Xenopus tropicalis: one gene and its partner. The protein of the gene in region 1 purifies or fractionates together with the protein of each later gene. This does not show direct contact. Links are inferred from orthologs where the notes say so. Each region holds a gene or a part of one and is shown on either strand. Other genes may lie near its edges.

What was found. Proteins that work in one complex are often made in the same cells at the same time.
Region 2: the proteins of poc1a (region 1) and nudc purify together in Homo sapiens (co-immunoprecipitation; 3 studies listed by BioGRID and IntAct, with this or other methods). This does not show direct contact. The link is inferred for Xenopus tropicalis from reciprocal best matches to the Homo sapiens genes POC1A and NUDC.

The regions. Positions count from the first base shown.
Region 1 is NC_030680.2:128,806,432-128,810,087, forward strand, and holds part of poc1a (POC1 centriolar protein homolog A), read right to left. Parts: intron 3,253-3,656; coding exon 3,073-3,252; intron 2,911-3,072; coding exon 2,803-2,910; intron 2,484-2,802; coding exon 2,368-2,483; intron 965-2,367; coding exon 831-964; intron 1-830.
Region 2 is NC_030678.2:77,789,363-77,793,018, forward strand, and holds part of nudc (nuclear migration protein nudC), read left to right. Parts: intron 1-370; coding exon 371-565; intron 566-650; coding exon 651-707; intron 708-850; coding exon 851-979; intron 980-3,656. UniProt on the Homo sapiens protein: Plays a role in neurogenesis and neuronal migration. Necessary for correct formation of mitotic spindles and chromosome separation during mitosis. Necessary for cytokinesis and cell proliferation.

The DNA of each region.
Region 1 (3,656 bases):
ATTGCACCATGGTTGGGGACCCCTGCCATAGACAGTCACTATTAATCAGGGTTGGTCGGGGTGTTTGGGCCTCTGTGTACTTGAAATGCCAGGGCCTATTTTGTATCCCAGTCCAGACCTGCTGTAGGGCATTGGGAACTAGCCTCCAAGCCTGTCTGAGCTGACTTTTGTTTCCTGTGGAATCCCTGTTGCTCCTAACTATTCCTGTCATTACCAGTAAAGCATTTATGGCCTTTTGGCTTGTCAGCGATGGGATCGATTAGTGTCCCTCTTTTATTCCAATGTTTCACAAAATTATAGATTGAGATATATAAATATATGTTTAGCACACAGTGGGCTTCATTGTGATGAGTCTCAAAAAAGTATTTTGTGCTCCTAGGATCAAACACAGCATTTTTCGTACAAGGCAATATAAAAATGTACAAAACAGTAAAATTTGGAGACACCTACAGACGTAATTGTAATTTCACTAGAGATGTTTGCACTGGGTAAGGCCTGGGTGGTGGGAAAAAGTTTAAAATAGTTTCTTTCTAACCACATTCTTCAGGTCAATGGGCAGAATAACTTAATTTGTAGAGGCAATTTTAAGGCAGAGATGTTTCTGAAATTAATTCTTATAAAAGACTCCTCCCGGGACTATATTTCCTGCTACACTTCAAAGAAAACCAGCCAGTGACCCCCTATTTGAAAACTGGAAAGTTGCTGTGGAAGAAGGCAAATAATAACTTCTTTTCATATGATAATACCGGTACGTGTATGGCCACCTTAAGAGGCATTAACCACTGAAGAAGCAGCATTATTTCCCTGGCTGACAGCTGTTGTCTTCTCACCTGATGTCCATGAAGGGTGTAAAGTAATCTTCCTTCCAATAAATCAAGAACTTTCAGAGTGGAGTCGTTTGAAGCAGTGATCAGGTAATTGCCAGATGGATGAAATGAAAGAGAATTCACTACGCCACTGTGAACTGGAACAATAAATGTGATCTTTAAATAAAATCTTATTTGCTTGGGTTATCATTTTCACTTTATGAAATCTTTGTAAATAGTCACCAAGACCTGTTTGCTCACTGCTCGGAAATCATTTGAAGAAACAAGAAGTGATTATGTGATCAAATACAGCGCTGCTCGTTGTGAACTATCTGCACTTGGCTGTGTCAATAGTCTCATACTATTCCATTATCTTATCTCTTGGTTTCCATCTGGAGTTGTACTAATATATATATATATGTTACATTTTAATGAAATATCATAGATTGAATGAATCTATAGTATTAAAAAAAGCGCAGTCTTTATAGAACCAGATTACATTTTTACATAAATATATACATTTTCTCTAATTTTTTTTTTGGAGTTATCAGAGCATATTTCACCAAAACCTGTAGTTTTACTGGTTTCTTTACAAGCAACTTGGCAAATATATCTGGATATTAACCACAAACTAAGTTACAGGCTATGTTTGCTTAAAAACGGCTTCAGATATTTTTAGAGCTTTTTAAACAATGTTTTTCTGAATAATAGATCCCATACCTGTTTTATTGTTTAAAACATAAATCACAATTTCACCACTAGTGGGCCCTGATTAGTTTGCTTCTGCCATTCAGTTGCATAAAACATAAAGAACTCCCCAAAGCATGAAGTTACAGAAAAACAGTTAAACTGGTCATACTTGGGCAGATTTAGGCTGCCAATTTGGCCCTTTCAGAGCGAGTTAGCAGCTTTATGTGCCCTTGTATGGGCCCTTTTCGGCAGCTTATCTGATAGCTATGTGGTCAAAAATCAGCCAGATATGTATCGGATAGGTTTAAAAATTGGGCGAGAACCACATCAACTCATTCATGCAGTCCTCTCCCCATGGCCTGCATAGGCACCTACTATGATCTGGTCATTTGCCCAGCACAAGTTGGGCATATCAGGCAAAGATCCACTCATTTAGTGACCTTGCCAAATGAGCAGAGCCTTACCTAAAATCATTAGGTTCCTCTTTACTCTTATAATTAATTATAAGATACCATCAAAATAGACATAACTACTTAGCTATACTGCATGCCTTCAAAAACTATGAACCTTTTTTTTGTGTCTGGGACAAAGATTAAAAGACTTGCGCAAGCTCCTATTAAAGAAGTTTTTCCACTTACCCTTTAAAAAAGCCTACTGTCATGCATGGTACCCAGTGGCTGCTAGAAGCTAAGGAAAAGAACAGTCACCCTCTGTTTAGGCCTGAGCACTTGCCCCTCTCCATAGGGTGTTTGTCCCACTGACCTTCATGCCATTCAAGAAACAGACCTTGCAGCAGGGCATGAGTGCAGATATGAGTACATAGGCATTAAATTGATGTGTTGTTCATGTAATATTAACAGAAGCTAATTACCCTGGTAATGTTGGATCAGTTTATTCATGCGGATATCCCACACCTTCACTGTGTTGTCTGTTGCTGCTGCAGCTATGCAGGTACCACTTGGGTGGAAATCAACAAAGTTCACAAAACTGCAATACAAAAGTATAAGTGAATAGCATTACCATCAATAGATTTAAATGTAAATGTGTGAATAAGAATGCTTTCATTCCATTTTGATAAAGGTTTCTATTCAAGGTGCTTATCCAAGAGTCTGTGCTGAAGCACTGGTGCAGTAATAGCTCCAACACCAGCATTTCAGTGGGATTCAGGGAATGCTGTTGCTGACCTTAGTGCTCATGGCTCATGAGGTATGTACTGGTCGACTAAAGGTGGCCATACACAGGCTGATGTATTGGGCCCTTCGACAGAACACTCTTAAAATACAAAATCTATTGTGAATTTACTTACCCTCCATGTTCACAGAATGAATGTATGCACTCCCTGCTGGTTTTGTCCCATAATTTTATAGTTTTGTCATCGCTAGCAGACACTATAAGCCTTCCGTCAGGTGAAAACCTAATAGAAAAAAATAAACCAGCTTTAGATAACTCTGGTGGGATGGTAGAGGCACCATTACATCTATTAATACATGCTTAGTTTAATGACACACTGCTGAACCTAAAATTAAACTTATTCTAGAAAACAAATACAATGAAAGGAATACCATTTGATACATACTTGGCACAGCGCACCCAGTTGATGTGTTGATTCAGGGAAAAGAGAAATTTTTGCCTATGAACAGTCCATACTTTTATAGTCTTGTCATCTGATGCAGTAACTAATGACTGCCCATCCCCAGAGAAGCTTACACTTCGTACGGTGCCGGTGTGGGCTTTGAATACTGTGGATTCTCCTTTCCTGGAAAAAAAGCACAAAGTGTTAAAGAACAGAACTGGGTTAAGGTATGGAGCTGACATGCATGAAGAATAAAGTAAGGCTGACGCTGCAGGTAAGACAGGAACATAAGCCAGTCTGGGTGGTTTAAACTTATAAAAAGGATCAGTGTTATTTTAATTAACCACATGTTGCAAGTGAACAGGTAAATTCCCAATAAACAAATAATAGACTGTGAGGAAACTGGCTCATAGCACATTCTCCACCACAGCTTTCTAGCCAGCAGTGCAGCACTTGGACCTGACCATATAACTGGTCATTTGCTTTAATGGAAACCCCCTGTTACTGCTGGTGACAGAAGGATTTCGTCTGGAAACGCAGCCGGCATGGTTGGGTTTGGGAACACCATTTGCTATGAGCCTTACATT
Region 2 (3,656 bases), on another chromosome or scaffold:
TTATGGTTTGTTGATAAATGTGGCAGCAGATTCTCAGCAACACAATAATGTTGTGAGAAAAGCTGTTGATAAACAGGCTGATGCGAGTTGCCTACTCCAAATTGAGCTGAAAGCCTGTTGGTCTATGTATGGGCCATAACCATGGCCGGCCTGTTGTCTATTGGGCAGACTAGAAAATCCAAGGACAGCATTGGGCTTTTAATTTGATTGTTGTCACTGTGGGACAGTTGAATGGATAAACCCAACTGACCAAGTGGTCAGTTTCAGCAAAGGGTTTCCAAAATTTGTTTTTTCTCTACTTACATGTTTCTTTCCCTTTAATGCAGAGATATACTGTGTGAATGTACAAATTATTTTTTTTTTTCTACAGCTCATCACCCAGGCCTTCAACCACCACAATAAACTAGCTTTAGCAGCTCAGAAACAGAAGGATGCTGATCGTCTGGAGAGAGAGGCTGTGAGGCAAGAACGGGAAGCCAAGAAAAAAGAAACGGAAGCTGGAGAGTCCAGAATCACAGAGCTCACTGATGAGGAAGCAGAGAGACTACAAAAAGAAATTGATAAGGTTAAACACTAGAAAATGAGAAGCCATCACTTATTATATTTCCAGCAGTGCAAATATTTTTAAACATTTTTTTTTTGATTTGCAGAACAAAGAGAAAGAGAAGGCAACTAGAGAGACAGAGGAGAAACCAGAGCCTGAGAAGGTAAGGTTATAAACAACAACAAATAACTGTTAGGAGAAACACTGATGTGCTCTTGGAAAAATATGATCAATGTAAAGTGATGTCTCAGCAATAGTGAAGGAGGAGAATAATAGGCTGTGATTGCTGGTTTTTGTATTCTGTAGGATGGAGAGGAAGAAAAGGAGGAGGAGGAAGAAGATGATGAGAAAGATAAAGGAAAGCTCAAACCAAATTCAGGAAATGGAGCCAACCTTCCTCATTACCGCTGGACACAAACCCTCTCTGAGGTTGATGTAAGTGTTTGTAAAGAATGTTGCTAAATATTTAGTCGCGTGTGATGTCCATAGAAAGAGCCTGGACAAAGGGAACTAAAAATTTTACCTCACAATTTTTTTTAGTTTGTTTTGTGGATTTTTATAGATAACTTTCCTACCATTTTAGCTCCAATACTTTATTCTTAAACAGCTGTCAGACACAGTGGTTTCAGACATGCTGTTTTCCAGACTGGTGTCCTAACATTAATCTATGTGCATATATATGCTAAAGACCACTGACACAGAGGAAATGACAGCAGTTACACCACTGACTGGGCAACCAGCTCAGTATTGCATGAGGAGAGGTTTTTTTATGCAAAATCTGCTCTTAGTATTGTTTGTTATTCCTGTACATCTGAGTTTTTGTTTAGATTTGTGGGGATGAATAATTGTTTTTGGTGTTTTTCCTAGTAAAAATGTGACAGATTTTTTTTTTTTTTACAAGGGGAGAGACTGAACTACCTACTGTGACCCTCCATAGATCTTAAAGGAGAAGGAAAGGCTAATAAAGAGTTAATCTCAAGCTGGGAGTGAGTTCTTAGCATTCTTGAGGGAGGGGGGAGCAAGAGAGAGGAGACAGCAGAAAGCTGTGTGTCTCTGGCACAGGAATTACCAACACAAGAAATCTTTTCACAGAGAAGTCAGTGCAGCGTTTCTGTGAGTGCTTATGGCTGTATTTACATAGACCTTTCTGATAAAGCTTACTTAGTTTTTACCTTTCTTTCTCCTTTAAAAGAGATACTGACAACAGAAATCTAACCATTTTTACATCTGTCTTAACATTGTCTTTGCATGTTTTTTTTACTTAAAAGTATTTGCTCGATGCGTTTACATTCCTGATCCCCTATGTTCCTCTATGAGGGGGCTGCCATATTTGTGCAGCAGTAGTCCTTTAGCATTAGAAACTGTTAAAGTAGAAGGAAAGGTAAAAACAAAGTAAGTTTTATCAGAAAGGTCTATGTAAATATGCCATAAGCACTTACAGTAATGCTGCAGTCCTCTATGAAAAGAGGCACAGGATTTCTTTTCTCCTATTTTGTACACGTTCTTAGGGTATCTGACTTCCTCTCTCAGAAAAATCCTTCATACCCAGGCCAGAGTCTGAGCAGTTCTCTCCCATAAGAATTCATAAAACCCACTCCCCCCACCCTTAAGAATGCGTAATCTAAACTATAACGGCTAAACTGCAAGCAGGAAGCTATGAAGATCAAGATAAAATGGCAGCTGCAATCTTAAGCAAACAGTGAAAACTTCTAGGGCTCTCTACTCGGGTATAGTAAAGCTTTCTGCAGAATAAATATAGCATTCCAAGTGGCACTAATGTGGTAAATCTATTGGTAGTAAAATGCTGAAATGACTGTCCCTTCTTAATCTGCCATTTAAAGCAGAAGGAAAGTCATGTTGGCAAAAGAGTCAGGTTTAGGAACTTCCAGTAACAATTACTTACAAAAGCAGCCCTATCAGTGAAAAACAATCAACATGACCTATAGGTAATATTTAATGTACATTAATATTTTGAAGAGCAGTTTTTTTAGTGTCAGTATCACTTTAATAAGAGATTACAGATCTGGCAATCATCCAGGTATATGTTTAAGCCAGGCAGAGTGTTCGCACTTTGGCATGCTCATTTCTGCTCATAGAAGCACCAATATTTGCAGTTCCATTAGTTTCCAAACAAACTGCATAATGATTAGTTCATATGTGGACCCCTATTTTGGTTTGGATGATCAAACCACAAAAATTAATGTGGAAGAAGAACTGATTAATTATATGTTACTAAATATGTTGTTATATGCCAAACCATACAACTTATTGGGCCAACAACTGTGGTGAGCGATTGGACCAACCAACATACAGGATGTTCAGTTGGATCAGAGCAACATGGTCATCTGTGTGGGTGAAACAACCAACTAGTCAACCTATGGTAACTGTTGGATATCTTGTTATTTGGCCCATTAGAAATCAGCTTTATGTGAATTTGGATAAAGTTGTTGAATAGCCTTACATACTAGTAAAAAAGTAATTTTTGTATTGCTCCCTCCCTGGAGGTAAGGAGCTGACCTGAAAGTTGGTTCAGGGTTGTGTCTCACTGTAACTGGATTTGGTTGGGTCTAATTTAGAGGCTTTACGTGGCCGGGTCTCTTGTGCTTTACATGCTTTTATTACAGTGTTCATCTGGTTGCACGTGGAAGCTAGCATGTTCAGCAGCAGTTAAACAGCCAAAGGCTATTTATGCTATATCTTAATAGTTCTAAAAACACAGTTAAAGGAGAAGAAAAGGCTAATAAAGTGTTAATCTCAAGCTACAGACATACCTTCAGTTCTCTCAATAGTGCCCCTTAAGTCTCTCCATATTTTCCTGTTCAGATGATCTGAAGCGTCATAGTAAAAAGAAATGCTGAGCTCTGTAAACAAAATTCCCATAATGCCAAGTTCCTGCACCAAGACCAAGACCCATGTACATGTGCAGTGTGTAAGACTATGAGGAAGCTTCCTGCTGTATAGCTCAGATCACTAATTCCTAAGGGAGAGGGGAGCATAGACTCTGGCATAGGAAAAAAGGAGACAAGAAATCATGTGTTTCTTTTGATAGAGAACTCAGTGCAGCTTTTCTGTGAGTACGTATAGCTGTATTTACATAGACCTTTCTGATAAA